4 linked regions of the Saccharomyces cerevisiae S288C genome follow. The protein of the gene in region 1 purifies or fractionates together with the protein of each later gene. This does not show direct contact. Each region holds a gene or a part of one and is shown in the gene's direction. Other genes may lie near its edges.

Evidence for each region.
Region 2: the proteins of POB3 (region 1) and RTF1 purify together in Saccharomyces cerevisiae (affinity purification with mass spectrometry; 4 studies listed by BioGRID). This does not show direct contact.
Region 3: the proteins of POB3 (region 1) and HIS1 purify together in Saccharomyces cerevisiae (affinity purification with mass spectrometry, with the first as the bait; 2 studies listed by BioGRID). This does not show direct contact.
Region 4: the proteins of POB3 (region 1) and TOP2 purify together in Saccharomyces cerevisiae (affinity purification with mass spectrometry, with the first as the bait; 3 studies listed by BioGRID). This does not show direct contact.

What each region holds. Positions count from the first base shown.
Region 1 is NC_001145.3:131,740-138,750, forward strand, and holds POB3 (FACT complex subunit POB3), read left to right. Parts: upstream 1-3,760; coding exon 3,761-5,419; downstream 5,420-7,011. Other genes in the region: DAK1 (dihydroxyacetone kinase), read left to right, coding at 1,736-3,490; ITT1 (RBR-type E3 ubiquitin transferase), read left to right, coding at 5,811-7,011. UniProt on the Saccharomyces cerevisiae protein: Component of the FACT complex, a general chromatin factor that acts to reorganize nucleosomes. The FACT complex is involved in multiple processes that require DNA as a template such as mRNA elongation, DNA replication and DNA repair.
Region 2 is NC_001139.9:39,505-46,865, forward strand, and holds RTF1 (RNA polymerase-associated protein), read left to right. Parts: upstream 1-1,993; coding exon 1,994-3,670; downstream 3,671-7,361. Other genes in the region: glutamate--tRNA ligase GUS1, read left to right, coding at 1-1,645; TAD1 (tRNA-specific adenosine deaminase), read left to right, coding at 3,803-5,005; ankyrin repeat-containing protein ANK1, read right to left, coding at 5,148-5,693; karyopherin KAP114, read left to right, coding at 5,941-7,361.
Region 3 is NC_001137.3:262,793-269,210, reverse strand, and holds HIS1 (ATP phosphoribosyltransferase), read left to right. Parts: upstream 1-3,425; coding exon 3,426-4,319; downstream 4,320-6,418. Other genes in the region: FCY2 (purine-cytosine permease), read left to right, coding at 1,098-2,699; GIP2 (Gip2p), read left to right, coding at 5,513-6,418. UniProt on the Saccharomyces cerevisiae protein: Catalyzes the condensation of ATP and 5-phosphoribose 1-diphosphate to form N'-(5'-phosphoribosyl)-ATP (PR-ATP).
Region 4 is NC_001146.8:453,708-463,590, forward strand, and holds TOP2 (DNA topoisomerase 2), read left to right. Parts: upstream 1-3,996; coding exon 3,997-8,283; downstream 8,284-9,883. Other genes in the region: NST1 (Nst1p), read left to right, coding at 1-2,423; Rho family GTPase RHO2, read left to right, coding at 2,858-3,436; TCB2 (tricalbin), read left to right, coding at 8,704-9,883. UniProt on the Saccharomyces cerevisiae protein: Control of topological states of DNA by transient breakage and subsequent rejoining of DNA strands. Topoisomerase II makes double-strand breaks. Essential during mitosis and meiosis for proper segregation of daughter chromosomes.

The sequences.
Region 1 (7,011 bases):
GACTTCAAGAGTACAACTAACTAAAGGAAAATCCAACTCTTCCTATAAATTTAGAATTAGCATATTCAAAAAAGAAGAAACAAAGCACTCACGATGGGGGTCGAACCCATAATCTTCTGATTAGAAGTCAGACGCGTTGCCATTACGCCACGCGAGCTAAATTTCTTGAATTGTTGGGTAAACAAATATTACTAATACAAATGTTATTAGAAACCAAAAATGCACTTTTCCGGGGTTAATATATATGATTGAGTGATGGATGAAGAATGAGATAATTGTTTAAATTCTATAGTTGTCAAGCGCTGTGATACCAGATACACAAAATGTACTAGAGGTTCTCCTCGAGAATATGAAAATCCACAATAGAGAACCGATATTTCTGTGTAGGAATATTATTATTTCTTCTTTCATTTTGTATGTTCTCGTTCATTTTCCTAGCACATTATCAACCCTTTCATTTCAATTTCCATTAAAATTGGTGACTGTTTCTCAATATTTATTTGACCGTCTTATACCCAATATGGTAATATACCAGTAATATAAATACTAGTCGTTAGATGATAGTTGCTTCTTATTCCGAAAATGAGTATGGAAGTGTTGCATATGATAGGGCGGCTACAGTGATGGTAAACATAAGATACTTTAGCGGGAAATTAGCAACTGGAAGTTAAATTATCTAGACATAAGTGTGGCGGTCACGCTGAACGCAGGAGATCGGATAGATTGATAAGCTGATCAAGAACATTGATCGGTTTGTTGTTTAAAGAATGGTTTTTGAAAACGTTTGACCAGTTGCTTCTCCCAGACGCTTACCGATATGATGATAAAGATAATATCTTCAATTGAATACCCCGTGGATCAGCACGAATAACAGAAAAAAAGGGTGAAATTCACCGTAAGCATGATACGCACTACGTTCTTCTTACCTTTGCCAACGTGTTGTCTTTGACGTACGTAATTATGGGAGATCGTTGATGATTAGCCCCAGCTCACTTTCTTCTTAATGACTGACCCGCTACTATCAAAATTAAGGTGTCAAATATCATGATGAATGAGGTCTCTAGGCGACTCAATTATACATCTTTTAGAGATTTTTTTACTACTTGCAGATAATTTCTCAAGGGATTAGATTCAAATCTGGCTTGTCAATTACGCCCTTTTCAAGCTCATCAAATTGCGTATGTCATTCATGCTTCCATTAGGAACCATAGAAGCATGGCTGAAATGGCAATATACGGCTTCCCAATTTCAACTCTAAAGTAATGGCGGTCGAATTTAATCTATATTTTACAGTTTTATACGTACTTTAAAAGCAATCAGTAAACACCTCTGGTGCTATTCAAGGGTTTTTTGCCTTTATTTGTTACTGTCAATTGTCTGGCGCTGTGATAAAAAACAAGGCATAAAGCTCCCCCGTCATGAACATTAAGACTCGCTAGACGAGAGAGTGAAATATAATGCATTTCCTGATTTAAATGCGCTACAAACATGGTGTAAATCTGGCCCGGAGTGAGTGCTTGCCAATTTGGCTTCTAAGGGAGAAAGATCAAACCACTCCCAATTGCGTCATTTTGAAAGAGTGGCCACCTCGCGAGCGTCTGTCGAACTAACTGATGAATAAATATATAAGGAGAAAATCACTTCAACTTCGCTACAAGTAGTCACTATTTGTAGCAACTGTAAACGAACACATCAAAGAATAAGATTACATTCTATATCTAAGACTAAATTTTAAATGTCCGCTAAATCGTTTGAAGTCACAGATCCAGTCAATTCAAGTCTCAAAGGGTTTGCCCTTGCTAACCCCTCCATTACGCTGGTCCCTGAAGAAAAAATTCTCTTCAGAAAGACCGATTCCGACAAGATCGCATTAATTTCTGGTGGTGGTAGTGGACATGAACCTACACACGCCGGTTTCATTGGTAAGGGTATGTTGAGTGGCGCCGTGGTTGGCGAAATTTTTGCATCCCCTTCAACAAAACAGATTTTAAATGCAATCCGTTTAGTCAATGAAAATGCGTCTGGCGTTTTATTGATTGTGAAGAACTACACAGGTGATGTTTTGCATTTTGGTCTGTCCGCTGAGAGAGCAAGAGCCTTGGGTATTAACTGCCGCGTTGCTGTCATAGGTGATGATGTTGCAGTTGGCAGAGAAAAGGGTGGTATGGTTGGTAGAAGAGCATTGGCAGGTACCGTTTTGGTTCATAAGATTGTAGGTGCCTTCGCAGAAGAATATTCTAGTAAGTATGGCTTAGACGGTACAGCTAAAGTGGCTAAAATTATCAACGACAATTTGGTGACCATTGGATCTTCTTTAGACCATTGTAAAGTTCCTGGCAGGAAATTCGAAAGTGAATTAAACGAAAAACAAATGGAATTGGGTATGGGTATTCATAACGAACCTGGTGTGAAAGTTTTAGACCCTATTCCTTCTACCGAAGACTTGATCTCCAAGTATATGCTACCAAAACTATTGGATCCAAACGATAAGGATAGAGCTTTTGTAAAGTTTGATGAAGATGATGAAGTTGTCTTGTTAGTTAACAATCTCGGCGGTGTTTCTAATTTTGTTATTAGTTCTATCACTTCCAAAACTACGGATTTCTTAAAGGAAAATTACAACATAACCCCGGTTCAAACAATTGCTGGCACATTGATGACCTCCTTCAATGGTAATGGGTTCAGTATCACATTACTAAACGCCACTAAGGCTACAAAGGCTTTGCAATCTGATTTTGAGGAGATCAAATCAGTACTAGACTTGTTGAACGCATTTACGAACGCACCGGGCTGGCCAATTGCAGATTTTGAAAAGACTTCTGCCCCATCTGTTAACGATGACTTGTTACATAATGAAGTAACAGCAAAGGCCGTCGGTACCTATGACTTTGACAAGTTTGCTGAGTGGATGAAGAGTGGTGCTGAACAAGTTATCAAGAGCGAACCGCACATTACGGAACTAGACAATCAAGTTGGTGATGGTGATTGTGGTTACACTTTAGTGGCAGGAGTTAAAGGCATCACCGAAAACCTTGACAAGCTGTCGAAGGACTCATTATCTCAGGCGGTTGCCCAAATTTCAGATTTCATTGAAGGCTCAATGGGAGGTACTTCTGGTGGTTTATATTCTATTCTTTTGTCGGGTTTTTCACACGGATTAATTCAGGTTTGTAAATCAAAGGATGAACCCGTCACTAAGGAAATTGTGGCTAAGTCACTCGGAATTGCATTGGATACTTTATACAAATATACAAAGGCAAGGAAGGGATCATCCACCATGATTGATGCTTTAGAACCATTCGTTAAAGAATTTACTGCATCTAAGGATTTCAATAAGGCGGTAAAAGCTGCAGAGGAAGGTGCTAAATCCACTGCTACATTCGAGGCCAAATTTGGCAGAGCTTCGTATGTCGGCGATTCATCTCAAGTAGAAGATCCTGGTGCAGTAGGCCTATGTGAGTTTTTGAAGGGGGTTCAAAGCGCCTTGTAAGTACTTGGCTCACGAATACATATCAAGATACTTATGATATATATATATAGAAAAAGCTTACTTTTCTTGGAGTTATTGTTATTATCATCGCGAAGAACGATTGTATAACCCGGTTCAACGCGAAACGAATCGTTAAACTGGTGAAATGTTAACGCGAGTGTCAGAGATATACATAGTATGAGAGTAGCTAGATGTTGAATCGGTGGTAAGAACAAGAAGGAAATACCGTTAACAAGTGAAGGAACAATCTAGTATTGTTGAACAAGAATTATGAGTACCGACTTTGATAGAATTTACTTGAACCAATCTAAATTTAGCGGTAGATTCCGTATTGCTGATTCTGGGTTAGGGTGGAAAATTAGTACCAGTGGTGGCTCTGCAGCAAATCAGGCAAGAAAACCATTTTTATTACCAGCCACAGAATTATCTACCGTCCAATGGAGTAGGGGCTGCAGGGGTTACGACTTGAAGATAAATACCAAAAATCAAGGTGTTATCCAACTAGATGGATTTTCTCAGGATGACTATAACTTAATCAAGAATGATTTCCATCGCCGTTTTAATATTCAGGTAGAGCAAAGAGAACATTCCTTACGTGGTTGGAACTGGGGTAAGACAGACCTTGCCAGGAATGAAATGGTTTTTGCTTTAAATGGTAAACCAACTTTTGAAATTCCTTATGCTAGAATAAATAATACAAATTTGACCTCTAAAAATGAAGTAGGAATAGAATTTAATATTCAAGATGAAGAGTACCAACCAGCCGGTGACGAATTGGTAGAGATGAGGTTCTATATTCCTGGTGTTATTCAAACAAACGTCGATGAAAACATGACCAAAAAGGAAGAGTCAAGCAACGAGGTCGTACCAAAGAAAGAAGATGGTGCTGAAGGAGAAGATGTACAAATGGCAGTAGAGGAAAAGAGTATGGCAGAAGCATTCTATGAAGAACTAAAGGAAAAGGCAGACATCGGGGAAGTCGCTGGTGATGCAATAGTTTCCTTCCAAGACGTCTTTTTTACCACGCCAAGAGGTCGTTATGATATCGATATTTACAAGAACTCCATTAGACTCAGGGGTAAGACCTATGAATACAAATTGCAACATCGTCAAATACAAAGAATTGTTTCGTTACCAAAGGCAGATGATATCCATCACTTATTGGTTTTGGCAATTGAACCTCCTTTACGTCAAGGACAGACCACCTACCCCTTTCTTGTCTTACAATTTCAGAAAGATGAGGAAACAGAAGTGCAATTGAATCTAGAAGATGAAGATTATGAGGAAAATTATAAGGATAAATTGAAAAAACAATATGATGCTAAAACTCATATAGTTTTAAGTCATGTATTAAAAGGTCTGACTGACCGTAGAGTCATTGTTCCTGGAGAATATAAATCCAAATATGATCAGTGTGCAGTTTCATGTTCTTTCAAAGCAAACGAAGGTTATTTGTATCCATTAGATAACGCTTTCTTCTTTTTAACTAAGCCAACTTTGTACATACCATTCAGTGATGTTAGCATGGTAAACATTTCAAGAGCAGGACAAACTTCTACGTCATCGAGGACGTTTGATTTGGAAGTGGTACTGCGTTCAAATAGAGGTTCTACCACTTTTGCCAACATCAGTAAGGAAGAGCAGCAATTATTGGAACAATTCCTAAAGTCTAAAAACCTAAGGGTGAAGAATGAAGATAGAGAGGTACAAGAAAGGTTACAAACCGCTTTAGGTTCAGACAGTGACGAAGAGGATATTAATATGGGTTCCGCTGGTGAAGATGATGAATCAGTAGATGAGGATTTTCAGGTCAGCTCTGATAATGACGCAGACGAAGTTGCAGAAGAGTTTGATTCAGATGCGGCTTTAAGTGATGCTGAGGGGGGTAGCGACGAAGAAAGGCCTTCGAAGAAGCCTAAGGTAGAATAGTAATAATTTTAGACTGTATAAGTTAAATTTATTGATATTGTGTAAAAACTAACTAATATATTTTGCCAATTGATATTATCATGACATGGTGAGTGTAAGACACCACCTCTTAATTACTGGTGTTATTCTATACATTTATTTGAAATTGGTTTTGTTTTGCAAAATATTTATGTTTTGTTAATCTCCTCTACCCTTTCAATGCTTGAAAAATACTTTCAACTTTTCGATTGGGTGATGAAAAAAAGACAAATAGTGTAAAGGGTTCAAAAATAAATAACAAGCAAGAGAAAGGGACTTTGCTTTTCTCATTTAGTCACCAGTAAGTTATGTCATGGTGTAGAATAACGAATTACAGAAAACTAATATAACTGATGAAAGACCAGGGAGTAAAATGGCTTTGACTCAGTTTGAAAATGATTTGGAAATATTAAGAGATATGTACCCAGAACTGGAAATGAAATCGGTAAAAGTAGAGGAGGAAGGTGAATTCCCTCAAAGAATTAACGGAAAGTTACTGTTCAAGATATCACTATTGGCCGATGTAAATATTGAGTTCGGCGAGCAACATATGTTACTTTCAAACTTATCTAATGAATGCGTGGAGTTCACCATATATAGCTGTCATTATCCGGACATTCGACGGTGTGTTGTTATGGATATCAAATCCTTATGGATATCAACAGATGAAAAGAAGATGTTAATTGACAAAGCGCTGAGACTCGTTGAAGAAACTGTAGATATGAGTATTGAGTTCGCGGATTCGTTTACCTCCATCCTTATCCTCATCTTTGGGTTTCTTATAGATGATACAGCTATATTACTATTCCCTAATGGAATAAGAAAGTGCCTGACACAGGATCAGTATGACTTGTTTAAGCAGATAAGTGAGGAAGCCACCCTCCAAAAAGTGAGCAGATCTAACTACCATTGTTGTATTTGTATGGAAATGGAAAAGGGTGTTAGAATGATCAAATTGCCATGTGAAAATGCGAATGTAGAACACTATCTTTGCAGAGGATGCGCCAAATCTTATTTCACTGCAATGATTCAGGAAAACCGAATATCCAGTGTAAGATGTCCACAATGCGAATACAAAGAATTAAAACTAGAAGATTTCAAGAGCTATAAAAAAATGCTGAAGGCATTGTTTACACCTTTGATTCCAGTGTCCTTCTTAAAAGAGGTTATCGATACAGAGCTATGTGAAAGATACGAAAAAATGTTCTACAACCAGGCGGCTACAAGACTCTCAAAATATTGTCCGTATGCTTGTGTGACTTGTCGAAGATGTGATAGTTGGTGCACAAAAGAAGACCTCGATGATGCGATGATTCAGTGTCAAAAATGTCATTTTGTATTTTGCTTTGACTGCTTGCATGCCTGGCATGGTTACAACAATAAATGTGGCAAGAAAGTTTCGTTATCGACCGATATTATTGAGGAATATCTAGATGATACCGTTACTTCATATGAGAGAAAGCGGAAACTGGAGGCAAAATATGGGAGAAGAGTATTAGAACTTGAAGTCAATGATTACCTTGCTGAAAAAATGTTAGATTTAGCGATTAAAAAAGAGGGTTCGAATTTGCAGC
Region 2 (7,361 bases), on another chromosome or scaffold:
AGCTCACGATTTCTTGAGCAAATCTTTACTAGAATTAAAGAAAAGTGCTAATGTGGGTAAGAAGAAGGAAACTCACAAGGCTAACTTTGAAATTGATTTGCCAGATGCCAAAATGGGTGAAGTCGTCACTCGTTTCCCACCTGAACCTTCTGGATACTTACATATTGGACATGCCAAAGCTGCCTTGTTGAACCAATATTTTGCTCAAGCTTACAAGGGTAAGTTGATTATTAGATTCGATGACACCAACCCATCGAAGGAAAAGGAAGAATTCCAAGACTCTATTTTGGAAGATTTGGATTTATTAGGAATCAAGGGTGATAGAATAACCTACTCATCTGACTACTTCCAAGAAATGTACGACTACTGTGTTCAAATGATCAAGGATGGTAAAGCTTACTGTGACGACACTCCAACTGAAAAGATGAGAGAAGAACGTATGGATGGTGTTGCTTCTGCCAGAAGAGATCGTTCTGTTGAAGAGAACTTAAGAATTTTTACCGAAGAAATGAAAAACGGTACTGAAGAAGGTTTGAAGAACTGTGTTCGTGCCAAGATCGATTACAAGGCTTTGAACAAGACTCTAAGAGATCCTGTCATTTACAGATGTAATCTAACCCCTCACCACAGAACCGGATCAACTTGGAAGATCTACCCAACTTATGATTTCTGTGTCCCAATTGTTGATGCTATTGAAGGTGTTACCCACGCTTTACGTACCATTGAATATAGAGACCGTAACGCTCAATATGATTGGATGTTACAAGCTTTGCGTTTGAGAAAAGTCCATATTTGGGATTTCGCTCGTATCAATTTCGTTAGAACCTTGTTGTCTAAGAGAAAGTTACAATGGATGGTTGACAAGGACTTGGTCGGAAATTGGGACGATCCAAGGTTCCCAACTGTCAGGGGTGTGAGAAGAAGAGGTATGACTGTCGAAGGTTTGAGGAACTTCGTCTTATCCCAAGGTCCATCCAGAAATGTCATTAACTTGGAATGGAACTTGATCTGGGCTTTCAACAAGAAGGTCATTGATCCAATTGCTCCAAGACACACTGCTATCGTCAACCCAGTTAAAATCCACTTGGAAGGCTCCGAAGCTCCACAAGAACCAAAGATTGAAATGAAACCAAAACACAAGAAAAACCCAGCTGTGGGCGAAAAGAAAGTCATTTACTACAAAGACATTGTTGTCGACAAAGATGATGCTGACGTCATCAATGTTGATGAAGAAGTCACTTTAATGGACTGGGGTAATGTCATTATTACTAAAAAGAATGACGATGGTTCTATGGTTGCCAAATTGAATTTGGAAGGTGATTTCAAAAAGACCAAGCACAAGTTGACTTGGTTAGCTGATACTAAAGATGTCGTCCCTGTTGATTTAGTTGACTTCGACCATTTGATTACCAAGGACAGATTGGAAGAAGACGAAAGTTTCGAAGATTTCTTGACTCCTCAAACAGAATTCCACACGGATGCCATTGCTGACTTGAATGTTAAGGATATGAAGATTGGTGATATCATCCAATTCGAAAGAAAGGGCTACTACAGATTGGATGCTTTACCCAAGGATGGTAAGCCATATGTCTTTTTTACCATCCCAGATGGTAAATCTGTCAACAAGTATGGTGCAAAGAAATAAGCATCACATAAGTAATGTATATACATATTTATGTTATTTCTCAACCAGTACCTTTTGAACAATATCTTTTATAAGTGAATGGTTTGCTTTCTGAACCAGTCCTGTGTTCGCTGCCTTGAATCATGTAAGGATAGCAGCTTATGACATGTATGTCTACCTATAGAACTTTGACTGTAAAAGTTTATCATCCATTACCCGGTTTTGTAATTTTGACAATTTATATTTTATTGAAATTGGTTCAAATAGTGACTACGAGCTGGAAGGAAAATATTCAAAGTTACAAAAGGTACTTGAAGGATACCAAAGTTTGTAATTGTATTGCACTAATTTGTTGAGAGCACTATAGAAATGTCTGATTTAGATGAGGATTTATTAGCCTTGGCTGGTGCCGATGAATCCGAAGAAGAAGATCAAGTTTTGACAACTACATCTGCCAAAAGGGCAAAAAACAACGACCAATCTCTTTCCAAGAAAAGGAGAATTGAAGTCGGCAGTGTAGAGGATGATGATGAGGAGGACGATTATAACCCTTACTCTGTAGGAAATGCAGACTACGGTTCCGAAGAAGAAGAAGAAGCTAATCCTTTTCCCTTGGAAGGAAAGTACAAGGATGAGAGCGACAGAGAGCACCTGGAATCCTTACCTGAAATGGAACGTGAGACTCTATTATTTGAAAGATCTCAAATCATGCAGAAGTACCAGGAGAGGAAACTTTTTAGAGCACGTGGAAGAGATATGAAGGAACAACAACAGAGAGCCAAGAACGACGAAGATTCCAGAAAGACCAGAGCTTCCACTAGATCAACCCATGCTACTGGGCATTCTGATATCAAGGCTTCAAAACTTTCGCAATTAAAGAAACAAAGAGCGAGGAAAAACCGTCACTACAGCGATAATGAAGACGAAGACGATGAGGAAGATTACAGGGAAGAAGACTACAAGGACGATGAAGGGAGTGAATACGGGGATGATGAAGAATACAATCCTTTTGATAGAAGGGATACATACGACAAAAGAGAAGAAGTGGAGTGGGCTGAAGAGGAGGACGAGCAAGACAGAGAGCCTGAGATTTCTGATTTCAACAAACTAAGGATCGGTCGTTCATTTGTCGCAAAATTTTGTTTTTATCCCGGGTTTGAAGATGCAGTCAAAGGTTGTTATGGGAGAGTCAATGTTGGCACAGATAAACGTACCGGCAAAACTTCTTACCGTATGGTGAGAATTGAGAGAGTTTTCTTGCAAAAACCTTACAATATGGGTAAGTTCTATACTAACCAGTATTTCGGTGTTACCCAAGGTAAAGACAGAAAGGTTTTTCAAATGAATTATTTTAGTGATGGTTTGTTTGCCGAAGACGAATACCAAAGGTATCTCAGGGCATTGGATAATTCGCAAATGATTAAACCTTCTTTACATTCTTTGAGTAACAAAACGAAAGAGGTTATGGATTTTGTCAATACACCATTGACTGATAAAACTACAGATGAGGTTGTTCGCCATAGGATGCAATTCAATAAAAAACTATCTGGTACGAATGCAGTCTTGGAGAAAACTGTATTGAGAGAAAAATTGCAATATGCCAAGGAGACTAATAATGAAAAGGACATTGCAAAATACTCTGCTCAGTTAAGAAACTTTGAGAAACGAATGTCTGTATACGAGAAGCATCATGAAAATGACCAATCTGACATTAAAAAACTAGGCGAGTTGACCTCTAAGAATAGAAAATTGAATATGAGTAACATCAGAAATGCAGAGCATGTGAAAAAAGAAGACAGTAATAACTTTGATTCAAAGAGCGATCCTTTCAGCAGGCTAAAAACCAGGACCAAAGTTTACTATCAGGAGATACAAAAGGAAGAAAACGCAAAAGCTAAAGAAATTGCACAACAAGAGAAGCTACAAGAAGATAAAGATGCTAAAGATAAGCGTGAGAAAGAGCTACTTGTGGCACAATTCAGGCGCCTTGGTGGGTTGGAGCGCATGGTTGGTGAATTGGATATCAAATTTGACCTTAAGTTTTAGTAGGCAGGACAATTTCAGTGTTTGTAAAAATATATTTATATTTATATATTTAAATATACTAAATAAAAATAATACTATCATCGTTGTGATGCAAAAAAAAAAAAAAATGAACAGAAAATAATAGTGATGTGAATGGTTTCGTGCCAAGGAACAAGGCCATGCATAGTAAACCTTCTCACTATGCCAAGTGAGGATAAATTGGGTGAAGAGATATCAACGAGGGTGATTAATGAGTATTCAAAACTAAAATCTGCCTGCAGACCAATAATTAGGCCTTCAGGTATCAGAGAGTGGACAATATTGGCAGGTGTTGCAGCTATTAACAGAGATGGCGGTGCGAATAAGATAGAGATACTTTCCATAGCTACTGGTGTGAAGGCTTTGCCAGATTCAGAACTACAAAGAAGTGAGGGGAAGATTCTGCATGACTGTCATGCAGAAATACTGGCATTACGAGGTGCTAATACAGTTTTATTAAACCGTATTCAAAACTATAATCCATCAAGTGGTGATAAATTCATTCAACATAATGACGAGATACCTGCCAGATTCAATTTAAAGGAAAACTGGGAGTTGGCATTGTACATCTCGAGATTGCCCTGTGGTGATGCCAGCATGAGTTTCCTGAATGATAATTGCAAAAATGATGATTTCATCAAAATAGAAGATAGCGACGAATTTCAATACGTCGACCGTAGTGTGAAAACAATATTGAGGGGACGCTTGAATTTCAATAGAAGAAATGTCGTTAGGACTAAACCAGGAAGATATGATTCCAATATCACTTTATCTAAATCCTGTTCTGATAAATTATTAATGAAACAACGGTCGTCGGTACTGAATTGTTTAAATTATGAACTCTTTGAAAAACCTGTATTTTTAAAGTACATTGTGATTCCTAATTTAGAAGATGAAACGAAACATCATCTAGAGCAATCATTTCACACTCGTCTACCGAATCTAGATAATGAAATTAAATTCCTGAATTGCCTCAAACCATTTTATGATGATAAATTGGATGAGGAGGATGTTCCTGGTCTAATGTGTAGTGTCAAGCTCTTTATGGATGACTTTAGCACCGAAGAAGCGATTCTTAATGGCGTGAGGAATGGATTTTATACCAAATCATCGAAACCACTGAGGAAACACTGTCAATCGCAAGTAAGCCGGTTTGCACAATGGGAACTATTCAAAAAAATAAGACCAGAGTATGAAGGAATAAGCTATTTGGAATTTAAATCTCGTCAAAAAAAGAGAAGCCAGTTAATTATCGCAATAAAGAACATTTTATCTCCCGATGGTTGGATACCCACCAGAACGGATGATGTGAAGTAATATATATATATATTGTTGAATATGCGTATATGCACACTTTTTTGTTAGTGCACCTTAAAGAAATATATACACAGTAGAAATATCTATATATCCAGAGTTCATCTATCTTTCCCTCTCTGTGGTATTATCATCACATATTTTATCATTTTTTATCATCTTCTTCGTCATCGTCAGATGGACCATCATCTATCATTTCCCCATCCTCATTGTTATCACCTGATCCATTGGTACTATCAATCGCTAACTCGGCACCCTGCAAAAGGTCAATTAATTCATCCAGTTCATCACCATGAACCAAATCAACTGGCTTTTGATTGTTATAGTTTCTCACCCTAGGATCCGCACCCACTTCAATTAAGTTTCTAGCAATAAAAGTTCCATGCTCAGGCTCCTCTTGACTGTATCTGACAGTAACATGTAACGGAGTGTCGCCATCAACGTCGTTTTGTGGGTCTATTTCGATTTCACCGTCTTGATCGAGAATCTTGTCGAGAACTTCCCAGGATCCATACTTACAACATAAATGTAACGCTGTATTCCCCAGTGGTTCTTTGGATTCGTTAATTAGCTTTGCAATCTTCTCAGGATCATTATCTAAGCTATCAAATACGGTCTCCAAAAGATCCAGATTGTTTCTTCTAGCTGCATCCAGCAATTGTTCACTTAAAGAAGCACCTTCAGTATTCATGATCAAAAAAAGAAACTAATTTATTTTGTGAAAAACTTCGACTTCTTTCACTTATGACTTTTTTCACTGGGATTCAGAAACTACCTCACAGGACCCCTATATAATGAATTTATTGTCAACCTTTCTATCAACGCGTTATACCTTGGGTATACTAGGAAAAAAAAAAAAAGATACATATGGATGTATATGACCTGCATACACGATCCGAAAATCTTGAACGTAATTGTAACACTATCAACACATTAAAATGGATATTAATGAATTGATAATAGGTGCTCAATCAGCTGATAAACACACTAGAGAAGTTGCGGAAACGCAATTGTTACAGTGGTGTGATTCCGATGCATCTCAAGTGTTTAAAGCGCTGGCAAACGTTGCCTTACAGCACGAAGCTTCTCTAGAATCGAGACAGTTTGCTTTATTGTCGTTAAGAAAATTGATCACCATGTATTGGAGTCCAGGATTTGAATCATACCGTTCTACATCGAACGTCGAAATAGATGTTAAAGATTTTATCCGAGAAGTGCTACTGAAATTATGCTTAAATGACAATGAAAATACCAAAATAAAAAATGGTGCATCTTACTGTATTGTTCAGATATCTGCGGTTGATTTTCCTGATCAATGGCCGCAGCTTTTAACAGTTATTTATGATGCTATCTCTCATCAGCATTCATTAAATGCGATGTCTTTATTGAATGAAATTTACGATGATGTCGTATCTGAAGAAATGTTCTTTGAAGGCGGAATTGGCTTGGCGACAATGGAGATCGTTTTCAAAGTACTCAATACAGAAACTTCTACTTTGATAGCCAAAATTGCTGCTTTGAAGCTACTTAAAGCATGTCTTCTACAAATGAGCTCCCATAATGAGTATGATGAGGCGTCACGAAAAAGTTTTGTCTCCCAATGTTTAGCTACTTCTTTACAGATATTGGGACAATTGTTGACTTTGAATTTTGGAAACGTAGATGTTATTTCTCAGTTGAAATTTAAATCCATTATATACGAGAATTTGGTTTTTATTAAAAATGATTTCTCTAGAAAGCATTTCTCAAGTGAATTACAAAAACAGTTCAAAATAATGGCAATCCAAGATCTGGAAAACGTTACCCATATAAATGCAAATGTCGAAACTACTGAAAGTGAACCCCTTTTAGAAACAGTTCATGATTGTTCTATTTATATTGTAGAATTTTTGACTAGTGTTTGCACTTTGCAATTTAGTGTTGAAGAGATGAACAAAATTATAACATCTTTAACCATTCTTTGTCAGCTAAGTTCTGAGACAAGAGAGATATGGACAAGCGATTTCAATACATTTGTATCGAAGGAAACAGGCCTAGCAGCATCATATAATGTTAGAGATCAAGCCAATGAATTTTTTACTTCATTACCCAATCCTCAACTTTCCCTAATTTTCAAAGTTGTTTCCAACGATATAGAACACAGCACGTGTAATTATTCAACTTTAGAATCTTTACTATATCTCTTACAGTGTATTTTGCTTAATGATGATGAGATAACTGGTGAAAATATCGATCAATCTTTGCAAATTTTAATAAAAACGTTAGAAAATATCTTAGTATCACAAGAAATACCAGAATTAATATTGGCGCGTGCAATTTTGACTATTCCCAGAGTACTAGACAAATTTATAGATGCATT
Region 3 (6,418 bases), on another chromosome or scaffold:
GACGTAACTCTGCTATAAAAAAGACCTGTTCATATTTTATTTTTTTTTTTTCATGTGCCACGAACAATTTAATGTATGGGAATACAACTGCAAAAGAAAAAATCAAAAAAAGAAATCACACACCACAAACACCAAACATTATGCCAGAAGCTTTCGCCAAATCCTGCGTCGATTAATTTAATGTGAACACCACCTCAGATCTAACACTGATGAAAAGCCTTACAAATCTCAACACATCTTTTCCTTTATGAAGAAGAGTGCCTTGCACAACCATACATACAGGAACTTGATAAAGCCTACAGATAAAATCCAAGTGGAAAGTAAACAAAAAATCCTAGAGAATGCTCGCTGAAAAAAAAAAAGATGTCAAGACAGATTACGTCGTAAATTCAGCCACTTTCAACCAAGTTTCCGTAATCATATTAATTTCTGAAATTAATTAATCTAACGTATCTCATATCTTTTTTAAGTGATTTACCTGTGGAGAACAGCAAAGAGGTCATCCAAGACAGAAAATCGATGGATACTGGTCTTATTCGGTCAAAGTGACTGCAATACTCCTCTGCGGATTTGCTTAGTGTTAGAAAATCGAGCGGCATGTTTTCTTTTGTCACCAATGGAACGGCCTCAAGGAACTAAATATCAGTCGATTTTATCGCCTTTCCCGAGTGGGGGGCGTATTCGTACAAATTGACTCTTTTTCAGAAATGTCTGCCGCCCGCGTTCGGTCATTAATGCACAGCTTTATCGCGATTGCCATTGACTTCTACGTACATATAGTTGCTACGTCTTCGCCTTATCAATAAATAATTATGAGTCTTTAATTTCTTTTTTTTCATTGTCAGAATTTTTCATGTCCTTTTTTTTTTTTTTTTCTCGATGATCAAGATGTTAGGGAACCAACCAAGATAATGGTTTTAATATAAATATCCATTAAAAATATTTAGACAGTAAAATAGTGGTGAGTCTAAAACGCGTTGGAGGCATTTTTCTTTGAAATGTAGATAAGTAAGCTTAACTGTAATAGTATTCACAACAATATCCATATAAATTTCGCATATAAAACATCCTATCCTCTATTATAACGATTTATAAGAATGTTGGAAGAGGGAAATAATGTTTACGAAATCCAAGACTTGGAGAAGAGATCTCCTGTAATAGGCTCAAGCTTGGAAAACGAAAAGAAGGTAGCCGCTTCTGAAACTTTCACAGCAACTTCCGAAGATGACCAACAGTATATCGTTGAATCATCAGAGGCCACAAAATTATCGTGGTTCCATAAGTTCTTTGCCAGTTTGAATGCAGAAACAAAGGGTGTTGAACCAGTTACAGAGGATGAAAAAACGGACGATTCCATACTGAATGCTGCGTCCATGTGGTTTTCAGCTAATATGGTCATTGCATCATATGCTTTGGGTGCCTTAGGACCCATGGTGTTCGGTCTAAATTTTGGTCAAAGTGTTTTAGTTATCATATTTTTCAATATAATGGGGTTGATATTTGTTGCGTTCTTTTCTGTCTTTGGTGCAGAACTGGGCTTAAGACAGATGATTTTATCAAGATATCTGGTTGGTAATGTAACGGCAAGAATTTTCTCTCTTATTAACGTTATTGCTTGTGTCGGTTGGGGTATTGTGAATACCTCAGTATCCGCACAACTGCTGAATATGGTGAATGAAGGCTCCGGCCACGTCTGTCCTATTTGGGCCGGTTGTCTGATCATTATTGGTGGTACCGTGCTTGTGACTTTTTTTGGTTACAGTGTCATTCATGCATACGAGAAATGGTCATGGGTACCCAATTTTGCCGTCTTTTTGGTTATTATTGCCCAACTATCGAGATCAGGAAAGTTTAAAGGTGGTGAATGGGTAGGAGGTGCAACTACTGCAGGTAGTGTTCTTTCTTTTGGTTCATCTATTTTCGGTTTTGCCGCAGGATGGACGACCTATGCAGCTGACTACACTGTTTATATGCCAAAGAGTACAAACAAGTACAAGATTTTTTTCTCCCTAGTTGCTGGTCTAGCGTTCCCTCTATTTTTCACCATGATTCTTGGTGCTGCTTCTGCTATGGCTGCTCTTAATGACCCAACCTGGAAGGCATATTATGACAAAAATGCTATGGGTGGTGTCATATATGCTATCCTGGTTCCTAACTCTCTGAACGGATTTGGTCAATTCTGCTGCGTTTTGTTAGCTCTGTCCACTATTGCAAATAATATTCCAAATATGTATACTGTTGCTTTATCCGCTCAAGCTTTGTGGGCACCTTTGGCTAAAATACCAAGAGTAGTCTGGACAATGGCAGGTAATGCTGCCACTTTAGGTATTTCCATCCCTGCTACCTATTACTTTGATGGCTTTATGGAGAATTTCATGGATTCTATCGGTTACTACTTAGCTATTTACATTGCCATCTCATGTTCAGAACATTTCTTCTACAGACGTTCCTTCAGTGCTTACAATATTGATGATTGGGATAATTGGGAGCATCTACCTATCGGTATCGCAGGTACTGCTGCCTTAATTGTTGGTGCCTTCGGTGTTGCATTGGGTATGTGTCAAACCTATTGGGTTGGTGAAATTGGCCGCTTAATTGGTAAATATGGTGGTGACATTGGGTTCGAGTTGGGTGCAAGTTGGGCCTTCATCATCTACAACATCTTAAGACCTTTAGAATTAAAATACTTCGGTCGTTAGGAAGTAATGATTAGGGCGATCATTTCCCCGTGCACATTTCACGTCATGTATCATAGATGCAATTTCATGTAAACTATTTAGACATCTCATTTAATAAAAATAGCTACAAACTGTATTTTACAATATTAGTAACATATCAAAGATAATCTCTATGGTATATACAAAACTTCAAAAATGCCAAGACAATTTGCACGGCTGCGACCTAATTGAGACTTTGTGGCCTGCATATCAGTCTTACAATAAAAGCCAAAAAGAAAAAAAAAAAGTAAGAATGCACAGGTGACTAGTGGTTATGTGACTATGTGAACGTAAAGAGAACGAGATGTAACCCGGCAACCCGGCTAGAGAGGTTGTTTAGCATGCGAGGTATTAGACTCCTTGTCAAAAAATTAATTAAAATATTTATTAGTTAATTTATTAGTTGCAAAGTCATTGATAACAGCGTGACTCTTCCCGGAAATTCTTTCATTTCGGCATTTCGAAGCGAGACCGCAAAACACGTGTACGCACGTAGCCAACGATTGAAAAAAAAAGCTTCCAAGTGAGTCACCTCTACCGTTGGAACTTATAAAATATTTTTGCAGAATATACTCGCCTGAAAGTCCATTTATACGCAGTGAACTGCAAGTATTTACCGTCTAAACTTTGGCATTTTACTCCTATTAACGGTTTGAATCTTTGAAAATAGAAAAGAAAGGATAGGTTTCTAAAAAATTCAATAGAAAAATGGATTTGGTGAACCATCTAACCGATAGACTACTGTTTGCAATCCCAAAGAAAGGTCGTTTATATTCTAAAAGTGTTTCTATTTTGAATGGTGCTGATATTACCTTTCACCGCTCTCAAAGATTAGACATTGCACTAAGCACAAGCTTACCTGTAGCGTTGGTCTTTCTGCCCGCTGCAGATATTCCAACTTTTGTTGGTGAAGGTAAATGTGATCTTGGTATAACTGGTGTTGACCAAGTTCGTGAATCTAACGTCGACGTAGACTTAGCAATCGATTTGCAATTTGGTAACTGTAAATTGCAGGTACAAGTCCCCGTAAATGGCGAGTATAAAAAGCCAGAACAGTTAATTGGCAAAACCATTGTTACCAGTTTCGTGAAACTTGCTGAAAAATACTTTGCCGATTTGGAAGGTACTACTGTTGAAAAAATGACCACAAGGATAAAGTTTGTCAGTGGTTCCGTGGAGGCATCATGTGCTCTGGGAATTGGTGATGCTATTGTAGATCTTGTAGAGAGTGGTGAGACAATGAGGGCAGCAGGTTTAGTTGATATTGCCACCGTCCTAAGCACAAGTGCCTACCTAATAGAATCAAAGAACCCAAAGAGCGATAAGAGTTTGATTGCTACTATCAAATCAAGAATTGAAGGTGTCATGACCGCTCAAAGGTTCGTTTCATGTATTTATAACGCACCTGAAGACAAGCTGCCTGAACTGTTGAAGGTGACGCCTGGCCGTAGAGCACCAACCATTTCCAAAATTGACGATGAAGGATGGGTTGCTGTTAGTTCCATGATTGAGAGAAAAACGAAGGGTGTTGTTTTAGATGAATTGAAAAGACTCGGCGCATCTGATATCATGGTTTTCGAAATTTCTAATTGTCGTGTATAAGATAGAACAGAAAAAGGGAAGCCAAATCCCGATTAATTTTGTATTTTTTATAGGCAATAATTTGATAGAGTTCTATCTTATTCTAAGTTACCCCTCATGACTTCCCAAGTGTGTTTTGAGGTTATCTCTGTGAATATTTTTTCTTTTTTTTTGCTACTTCCCCAGGAAGTTAAATCTTCGTAGCATATTTGTCAGCTTTACTACCGTCTTCATGCTCATGAAACCTTCTTCTTCAACCCCCTTCATTTCTCCAATTTTCGAAAACTGGAGCTACCCATAAATATTCGGAGTTTTGTAGGTATTTTTATTTTGGAGAAAACCTGTACAAACTCTCCCCAGGGAGCATAGATTGGGGATCGTAACGCATAAAGCTGTCTAGAATGCATTTTTCCATGCTACGTCGATTTTTTGCCCGGAAGAGGCTGACGTAGCGCTGGAAGGTACCGACAACTATGCCTATTGTGGAGATGGGCGGCAAACTCCTGTCGCAGAGTGGGGGCGGGGAAAGGTTCTTTTTGCCGTGGAATGAAGCGCATAAAAGAAAAACAGTATGCCATATTAAGTCTTTTTAAGGGGAAAGGGGCTGCTACCATGAGGTCTTTTACCAAAAATGTGTATCAGCTACGCTTCTCAATGAAGGGGCCAAGAAGTTCGTTCTATCCAACAGGAAATATTTCGATATTGCAACGGTCTTTCTATATCTTGCATATTCTTCTTCAGGTTGAGTTCCTTTATATATACTGCATTGCGTAATAAGCAACACAGGGCCCATCCGTTCAACAGAAGAAAACTAAAGCTTTTCAAACATAGCCTTTCCAGTTCAGTGCATATTTATAGAAGGTAAACCTGCATACAATACGGTTAAAACAATAGGAACGAAAAGAAAGCTAGACGGGAAAGCAGTTACTAAAGGCAGGGTTGACGGGACGTTTAAAGAGAGAAGTCTGGTTTATAAAACCTTTTAGTAGTAAAAAAGGAAAAGAAACAAGGAAGGTTGGCATTCTGTTTGATTGAGGAGAAAGGAACCACATTGGACTTTTTTTTTTCTTTCTGTAAGGTATAGTTTTTAGTAGGCTGAACATCAAAAAGATCTCCGTTGTACTCAGAAACAAGTTTAATAGGAACGGGTACAGATATCTTGTCAAAATTTTATTCTTACAGCCCAAGTTTATTAGGATTTCATCAACGCAACAATGTATATAAAGGCAGAACAGAAACCCCAACAGTTTGAGAGGAAGAATGAAAAACTAGACAGAAATAAAAACCAGCAGCTACCAGATCTTGAAACAGATTTCAAGGGTTACAGAGTGAATTCGGACCTATACAACAAAGAACGAGATGGAAGTACGGAAGAGACTTTAAACTCTTTGAAGTTTTTACATAAACCTCAGAGAGTAACTCAAATGAGAGCGAACAGGTTCCCAGAGGAAGAAGTGCAAAGAAACACTGATTTAAACAAAAGAATTTTCTCCGCAGGGAATGATGAAAACGTTGATAATGAGAGCGGCTGGTCAAAAATTGCCGCTGCCAAGAATCACACTTCCGTAGAATCATTAAATGGCAGTACGAGACCCCCATTCAAAATAGAGCTGCCTCCCCTTTCCCCCAAATCCACCGTACCAAAATCTTTTCAAGCAGAATATCCCGAAGCTAAGTCACCTGGCAATGATATGAATTTTGAATATGATGAAGAAATTCTAATTCCATTTGCGCCACCTGTATATAAAAAGTCAGGTGAACTATTGAAGAGCTCATTGAAGAGAAGATCAAAATCATTACCTACAACCCCAGGTATAAGGAGCGGGAATGGTGTCCAAGCAAGAGACGGTAGTCCGATGTTGATTAGGAGTAAGAGTGTTCACTTTGATCAGGCGGCACCTGTAAAATATTTTGCTGAGGATGAAAGCCCTATAAACGTTAATAAAACTGAACAACACGATAATTGTCTAAGCTTTAAGCATAAGCCAGTGAATTTAATGGTGGACCCGGAAGAAGAGACAAAAATGCTATCATCTGGATTAGAAACGACATCCATAGATGATGACTTGACGACAGTTGCGCCAAAAGGCTTCGCACATCCTGCTAAAATTTCGAATCCA
Region 4 (9,883 bases), on another chromosome or scaffold:
CCGTTCTAGCAGCCACTTTAAGCTCGTGCTTTTCATCTCAATCGAAGGATACTTCGTTAGATACTGATTCTATATATGAAGATGAAGATGAGGAAGACTATGATGACTATTCAGAATATGCTGAAGATAGCGAAGAGGTTTCTGAGTATGAAGGAATAGAGGCAGTCGAAAAACCAGAGCATGATGAAAAAAGCAACGGGATACGTGAAACATTACATTTAAGTTATGACCACGATCATAAACGACAGAACCACCCTCACCATCACTACCATAGTACCAGTACCCACAGCGAAGATGAACTGAGTGAAGAAGAGTATATTTCCGATATAGAATTACCGCATGATCCTCATAAGCACTTTCACCGCGATGATGATATATTAGATGGGGATGAAGATGAGCCAGAGGAAGAGGATGAAAATGAAGGCGATGACGAAGAAGATACTTATGACAGCGGTCTTGATGAAACTGACCGTTTAGAAGAAGGTCGGAAATTGATTCAGATAGCCATTACAAAGTTGCTTCAAAGTCGAATAATGGCTTCTTATCATGAGAAACAGGCAGATAATAACAGACTAAAACTTCTACAAGAACTAGAAGAAGAAAAAAGAAAGAAAAGAGAGAAGGAAGAAAAAAAGCAGAAAAAAAGAGAAAAAGAGAAAGAAAAGAAGAGGCTGCAACAGTTAGCTAAAGAGGAAGAAAAACGAAAAAGGGAAGAAGAGAAAGAAAGGCTAAAGAAGGAATTAGAAGAGCGTGAAATGAGAAGACGAGAGGCTCAAAGGAAAAAGGTTGAAGAAGCCAAACGGAAGAAAGACGAGGAGAGAAAGCGTAGATTGGAAGAGCAGCAGCGGAGAGAAGAAATGCAAGAAAAACAACGGAAACAGAAAGAGGAACTAAAACGCAAGAGGGAAGAAGAAAAGAAACGTATTAGAGAACAGAAAAGGCTAGAACAAGAAAAGCTACAGAAAGAAAAAGAAGAAGAAGAGAGACAAAGATTAATTGCAGAGGATGCGCTAAGAAAACAGAAATTAAACGAAGAACAAACATCTGCGAACATACTTTCCGCCAAACCTTTTACTGAGAATGGAGTTGGCAACCCTGTTTCATCTCAATCACATCCCAACATGACTAACTACCAAGAGGATAATAGTTGCAGTATCAACGATGAAATACTTAAAATGGTTAATAGCGTGGCTGCATCCAAACCAGTTTCACCCACAGGCTTTAACGTTCATGATCTACTTCTTCCTTCAACTAACAACCAGATGCCTGCTATGGAACAATCACACTTGCCACAGCCAGGTAATCAAAACAACCATTTTGGAACTACAACTATTCCGAATGCGTTAGACTTGGCTACAAAATCTTCTTTACAGACTGAAAACAACTATTTAATGAACTCACAAACTCTGGAAAATACAAGTCTATTGATGCATAATAATTCATCGCCAACTAAGCTATTGCCAAATGACTTTGGTTTATCATCTTGGGGTGGTCTGACAAATACAATGTCCATAAATCCTACATGTAAACCACCGGTTATTCAAACTTCAGAAATGGAATCACAAGCCCATAAATCTAGTCCTCAAGCTACAATGCCATCTTTTGGACTACCTAATGGTGGTACTCACCGTAAATCGTTTACCGACGAGTTGAACACTTTAACTAGCATGCTTTCTTCTTCCGGGTTCGCAGATACATCACTTTCATCATCAGGATTCCCCCCATCACAGCGTTCTGTGTGGAATGATCAAAAAAGCTCATTTTCGGGACCGTCGACTGCAGGAAACTTTAACAACAGCAGTATACAAAGCGGTATGCTGCTCGCACCTACATTAGGAAGCGTTGAATCGTTTCCAAATCGAACTTCTATCTGGGACAGCAGCACCACTCCGATGATGAATAAATCCGAGCTTTCCGGTCGCAATATAACTAGTACTGCGCAAGATAGCCCTGCGTTCATGGCATCAAATATCTGGTCTAGTAACAGTCAATACAATTCACCATATTTGACTAGCAACGTCCTTCAATCCCCTCAAATTTCGAGTGGAGTGGATGAAAGCCACATTCTGGATAGCATCTACAATACTTATTTAGCTATTTCCCCACAAGATAGTTTAAACCCCTACATTGCTATCGGGACACTATTCCAAAATTTAGTAGGACTTAACTTGGATTACTCGACGTTTATCAACAAATTGATAAGCATGCAAGGAGCCTACAATTGCGAATTCTTTACTGATAACAATGGATCCATTACCCACGTTCGATTTGCGAGACAAACTCCCGCTGGCCACTCAAAGGGGTTGCTGAATCAACTCTTTAGTGGATTGAACGATCCAACTGCTACACCATTTACGTCAAGGCCTCATACCTCCACAAGGGCTAGTTTTCCAATTGCCTCTTCAACTACGCAAACGTCTTAAATTTGCTCCGGTACGCAGGGCCAAAAATATTTACATACATACATAATTCGACGAAATTTCAGAAGAGACACTAAACAATCGTACATCTCTCTACTCGATGTGAGCCACGCGTCGGTTTTTCTTACCGTCGTGGCTTTAGAGGTGAGGCTGCGACACCCCATACATCTTACCCGGCATTTAATTTCCATTTTTCGCAGGAATGTGAATATGATAATAGACTTCGGTACACTCTTTTTTAGGTATAACATATATCAATTGTTCAACAACAATTATTCAAAGCGCAACTCTCCAAAGGTAGTTATTCTGATAATTTGAACCAAAAGTCCCCAGATTAAGTCTTAATTAAACTGCCCTTGCATACCGCTGTAAACGATTTGTGTGCAGACATCAATTGCTGAAACGTTCTGCTTTGGTTGTGCTTTTGATCCCGTACTATGTCTGAAAAGGCCGTTAGAAGGAAACTTGTTATTATTGGTGATGGTGCTTGTGGCAAGACCTCTTTACTATATGTATTTACATTAGGAAAATTCCCTGAACAATATCATCCGACAGTGTTCGAGAATTATGTCACTGATTGCAGAGTTGACGGAATAAAAGTGTCCTTAACGCTCTGGGATACAGCGGGACAAGAGGAATATGAACGTTTACGTCCATTCTCATATTCAAAAGCAGATATAATATTAATTGGGTTTGCTGTAGACAATTTTGAATCACTAATTAACGCAAGGACGAAATGGGCGGATGAGGCATTACGATATTGTCCTGACGCACCAATCGTTCTTGTAGGCTTGAAAAAAGATTTGAGGCAAGAAGCCCATTTTAAAGAGAATGCTACCGATGAAATGGTTCCCATTGAAGATGCAAAACAAGTTGCAAGGGCCATTGGGGCCAAGAAATACATGGAATGTAGTGCACTGACTGGTGAGGGTGTGGATGATGTCTTTGAAGTAGCTACAAGAACCAGTTTGCTTATGAAGAAGGAACCAGGGGCTAACTGTTGCATAATTTTATAAAAAAAACTTACACTGAAATGATACATTATCTTTTTAGCAAGGGAGGGAAAAACAATACCGTATTATAATTTTAATCAAATTTCATAGATATAATGGAATAAGTTAAAAAGGCTTATCGATAGTGCATGTATAAAACACAAACCCATTCGATATGTTTGTTCGTTAATGTCCTACAGATTCTTATTCGAGAGCCTTTACCAGAAGCAAAATTTCCGACGGATATAAGAAAATGGCACATCAAACCATAGCTCAAGGTACTGCGCCGATGAGCTAAACGGAACTGCCTAGTTTGATTATTTTTCGTTTATATACTTATTTACTTATTTACGCTATTTGTATTCGAATTCCTTACGAGGCGATGAGTGAAAGACGCGCCAGTAGGACGCGTCTTTTTTTTTTCAGTATAATGTAAACATATTATTGAATTGCCGAAGGAGACAAAAAGAAAAGAAAAGAGGAGATCATCTTTCATATAATCCAACCACGTCGTAGAGCAAACCACGACAATTTTAACTTTCTGTTTCAGTTAAAGGAGTTTATAACGACCAGCACGGCTAACCATGTCAACTGAACCGGTAAGCGCCTCTGATAAATATCAGAAAATTTCTCAACTGGAACATATCTTAAAAAGACCAGACACTTATATCGGTTCTGTTGAAACTCAAGAGCAGCTGCAATGGATATACGATGAAGAGACCGATTGCATGATTGAAAAAAATGTCACAATTGTACCAGGGTTGTTCAAAATCTTTGATGAAATCTTAGTCAATGCGGCAGATAATAAAGTTCGTGATCCATCGATGAAACGAATCGATGTAAACATACATGCTGAGGAACATACTATAGAAGTGAAAAATGATGGAAAAGGTATTCCCATAGAGATTCATAACAAGGAGAATATTTATATTCCTGAAATGATATTTGGTCATTTGTTGACATCATCCAATTATGATGATGATGAGAAGAAAGTCACTGGTGGTAGAAACGGTTATGGTGCTAAGCTTTGTAATATATTTTCCACTGAATTCATATTAGAAACTGCAGATCTAAATGTTGGCCAGAAATATGTTCAAAAATGGGAAAATAACATGAGCATTTGCCACCCCCCAAAAATAACATCTTACAAGAAGGGTCCATCATATACAAAGGTGACATTTAAGCCGGATTTAACCAGATTCGGAATGAAAGAGCTAGATAATGATATCTTAGGAGTGATGCGAAGAAGAGTTTATGATATCAATGGTTCTGTTCGTGACATTAATGTCTATCTGAATGGCAAGTCCTTAAAGATAAGAAATTTCAAAAATTATGTTGAACTCTACTTGAAATCACTCGAAAAAAAAAGACAACTAGATAACGGTGAGGACGGTGCCGCTAAGTCTGATATCCCGACTATTCTTTATGAGAGAATAAACAACAGATGGGAAGTTGCTTTTGCGGTTTCTGATATCTCTTTTCAACAAATTTCTTTTGTGAATTCCATTGCAACTACCATGGGTGGTACCCATGTCAATTACATAACAGACCAAATTGTAAAAAAAATTTCAGAAATTTTGAAGAAAAAGAAGAAAAAAAGTGTGAAGTCTTTTCAGATTAAAAATAATATGTTCATTTTCATTAATTGTTTGATTGAGAATCCTGCATTTACCTCACAAACAAAAGAGCAACTGACAACAAGAGTCAAAGATTTTGGGTCCCGTTGTGAGATTCCTCTTGAATATATTAATAAGATTATGAAAACTGATTTGGCTACAAGAATGTTTGAAATTGCCGACGCAAATGAAGAAAATGCGCTAAAGAAGTCTGATGGTACAAGGAAAAGCAGAATTACTAATTACCCTAAACTGGAAGATGCCAACAAAGCCGGTACAAAAGAAGGCTATAAATGTACTTTAGTTCTGACAGAAGGGGATTCCGCCTTGTCATTAGCTGTTGCAGGTTTAGCTGTTGTTGGTAGAGATTATTATGGTTGTTATCCACTTCGTGGTAAAATGCTGAATGTTAGAGAAGCTAGTGCTGATCAGATACTAAAAAACGCGGAAATTCAAGCCATTAAAAAAATTATGGGGTTACAACATCGCAAGAAATATGAAGATACAAAATCTTTAAGATATGGGCATCTTATGATCATGACCGATCAAGATCATGATGGTTCGCATATTAAAGGTTTAATTATAAACTTTTTAGAAAGCTCATTTCCTGGTCTTTTGGATATCCAAGGTTTCTTACTTGAATTCATAACTCCGATCATCAAAGTTTCCATCACTAAACCAACAAAAAACACTATTGCATTCTACAATATGCCGGACTATGAAAAATGGAGAGAGGAAGAATCGCACAAATTTACTTGGAAGCAGAAGTATTATAAAGGATTAGGGACTTCTCTAGCACAAGAAGTCCGAGAATATTTTTCGAACTTGGACAGACATTTGAAAATATTCCATTCTTTGCAGGGTAATGATAAAGATTACATTGATTTAGCTTTCTCCAAGAAAAAGGCAGATGACCGTAAAGAATGGCTGAGACAATACGAACCTGGTACTGTTTTAGACCCTACTTTAAAAGAGATTCCAATTAGCGACTTCATTAATAAGGAATTAATCCTTTTTTCTTTGGCCGATAATATACGGTCGATTCCCAATGTTTTAGATGGATTTAAACCTGGCCAAAGAAAAGTTCTTTATGGTTGTTTCAAAAAAAATTTAAAGTCGGAACTGAAAGTAGCTCAACTTGCACCATACGTGAGCGAATGTACGGCATATCACCATGGTGAGCAGTCATTGGCACAAACTATTATTGGGCTAGCCCAAAACTTTGTTGGGTCCAACAATATTTACTTGCTATTACCTAACGGTGCTTTCGGTACAAGAGCCACTGGTGGTAAAGATGCAGCGGCAGCGAGATATATCTACACAGAATTGAACAAATTAACTCGTAAGATATTTCACCCTGCTGATGATCCATTATACAAATATATACAAGAAGATGAGAAAACAGTGGAGCCAGAGTGGTATTTACCAATTCTTCCTATGATTCTTGTTAACGGTGCTGAGGGTATTGGCACTGGCTGGAGTACTTACATTCCTCCATTCAACCCATTGGAAATTATAAAGAATATAAGACATTTAATGAACGACGAGGAGCTTGAGCAAATGCATCCGTGGTTTAGGGGATGGACCGGTACTATTGAAGAAATTGAGCCTCTGCGTTACAGAATGTACGGTAGGATTGAACAAATTGGAGATAACGTCTTAGAAATAACTGAGTTGCCAGCCAGAACTTGGACATCGACTATAAAGGAGTACTTACTTTTAGGTTTAAGCGGTAACGATAAAATAAAACCCTGGATCAAAGATATGGAGGAGCAGCACGATGATAACATCAAATTCATAATCACGCTATCACCTGAGGAAATGGCTAAAACAAGGAAAATAGGTTTTTATGAAAGATTTAAACTAATTTCGCCTATAAGTTTGATGAATATGGTCGCATTTGATCCTCACGGGAAAATCAAGAAGTACAATTCCGTGAATGAAATATTAAGCGAATTTTACTACGTCAGACTAGAATACTATCAAAAAAGAAAAGACCATATGAGCGAAAGGTTACAGTGGGAGGTAGAGAAATACTCTTTCCAAGTAAAATTTATTAAAATGATTATTGAAAAGGAGTTAACAGTCACCAATAAGCCTAGGAACGCTATTATCCAAGAACTTGAGAATTTAGGGTTCCCCAGATTTAATAAGGAAGGTAAACCATATTATGGAAGTCCTAACGATGAGATAGCTGAACAAATTAACGACGTAAAAGGCGCAACTTCTGATGAAGAAGATGAAGAAAGTTCACACGAAGATACTGAAAATGTTATAAATGGTCCTGAAGAACTATATGGCACATATGAATATTTATTAGGAATGAGAATATGGTCATTGACCAAGGAAAGATATCAAAAGCTGTTGAAACAAAAACAAGAAAAGGAGACAGAGTTGGAAAACTTGTTAAAACTTTCCGCGAAAGATATATGGAACACTGACTTGAAGGCTTTTGAGGTGGGATATCAAGAATTTTTGCAACGAGATGCAGAAGCTCGCGGTGGTAATGTTCCCAATAAAGGGAGCAAAACGAAAGGTAAAGGAAAAAGAAAGCTTGTTGACGACGAAGACTACGACCCATCAAAAAAAAACAAGAAAAGTACTGCTAGAAAGGGCAAAAAAATTAAGTTAGAGGATAAGAATTTTGAAAGGATTTTGTTAGAACAAAAACTAGTAACCAAAAGCAAGGCGCCTACAAAGATTAAAAAAGAGAAAACGCCTTCTGTTTCAGAAACAAAAACAGAAGAAGAAGAGAATGCTCCTTCTTCCACGAGTTCTTCTTCTATTTTCGACATAAAGAAAGAAGATAAAGATGAGGGCGAACTGAGTAAGATTTCGAACAAGTTTAAAAAAATTAGCACGATTTTTGACAAAATGGGTTCTACTTCCGCTACATCGAAGGAAAATACACCAGAACAGGACGATGTAGCCACTAAAAAAAATCAAACAACCGCTAAAAAAACAGCTGTAAAACCTAAATTGGCCAAGAAGCCAGTCAGGAAACAACAAAAAGTTGTGGAACTATCTGGTGAAAGCGACCTAGAAATTTTAGATTCATACACTGATCGGGAAGATAGCAATAAAGATGAAGATGATGCTATACCACAACGATCAAGGAGACAAAGATCGTCGAGAGCTGCGTCGGTTCCTAAGAAATCTTACGTTGAAACTTTAGAATTATCTGACGACAGTTTCATCGAAGATGATGAAGAGGAAAACCAAGGATCAGATGTTTCGTTCAATGAAGAGGATTGAATAATATTTATCCAGAGAAAGCGCCATTCTTTTTATATGTTTATATCAGAAACAAATAGAAGTCGATCGTAATGACTAGATTATATAATCAGAAATAGCCTTTGGTGATCACTTCCATTTTAGTCAGCATAATAGAAAGTTTAATTACGCGCTTTTTTACATTCCGACAAAGATCTGCCCGAGAAAATTCTTCGAGAAGACAACAACAACAAAAAAAATAAAGCCTGGGCGAAAAACATCGTGCGTTTACATAATATCTTGAAAAGCAAACAGATATATAAACCGCTATTGAAATTACCTTTTTAAGTATTCGCCTAGAAGCCTTGTTTCAAGTAGCATCAACAACAGGTGTTAGGTTAAACTGCTTTGACTTTTTGTTCTTTAACGAATATCATTAAAAAAAAAGGACATCTATAAAGAATGTCTCCAAACTCGTCGAAAACTCGAACGGACCAGATAAGCTCCATGCCTGGTATTAATGAAGCCACGAAGGTGGAAAGTAAGAATGTTGTGAAGGATGCTGTTCCAATAAAATCTGAAGTTGAAACCAATGGTACATCAATAGTAAGAGAAAAACAAGATCCATCGTACGTTGGTTGGAAACAAGTTGGTGGTTGGGAGGAAAAGGACGAGTTAACTTCCGAAGACCTTTTAGTGGACGTAAACAAGGACACTTTTTTGGGGAACCTTTTACCAGATAAATTCTATGGTGATTGGTATCATGAAGTCGCTATTCTCATCATCGCTGGTTTATGTTCCTTTGTGCTGGGCTATTTTAAATTCTCTCTCGCGTCCGTCCTTATCGTGATGCTAACCACAGGAATGTTATATAGAACTTCGTCCAAAAAATATAGGGAATCGTTAAGGGATTTAGCCCAGAAAGAACAAACTGTAGAGAAAATTACTAGTGATTATGAATCTGTCGAATGGTTAAACACCTTTTTAGATAAATACTGGCCCATTATCGAACCTTCTGTCTCCCAACAAATTGTCGATGGTACAAATACTGCATTATCTGAAAATGTGGCAATTCCAAAGTTTATAAAAGCCATCTGGCTGGATCAATTTACGTTAGGTGTGAAGCCTCCAAGAATTGATGCCATAAAGACATTCCAAAATACAAAATCTGATGTCGTAGTCATGGACGTATGTCTATCATTCACTCCACACGACATGTCTGATCTTGATGCAAAACAATGCAGGAATTACGTAAATTCCAATGTCGTATTAAAGGCAAAGATATTCGGAATGGACATACCTGTTTCAGTTGCTGATATTTTTTTTCAAGTTTTTGTTAGATTTCGTTTCCAATTGATGACAACTTTGCCTCTTGTTGAAACTATAAATATTCAGTTATTGGAAGTTCCTGAAGTTGATTTTATTAGTCGTTTATTGGGTAACTCCGTCTTTAATTGGGAAATCCTGGCTATTCCAGGCTTAATGAGATTGATTCAAAAAATGGCATTTAAATACTTGAGCCCTGTTTTACTCCCACCTTTCTCTTTGCAACTTAATATACCACAACTTCTTTCCAAGACTGGCTTACCTATAGGTGTTTTGGAAATCAAAGTCAAAAATGCCCATGGATTAAGAAAACTTG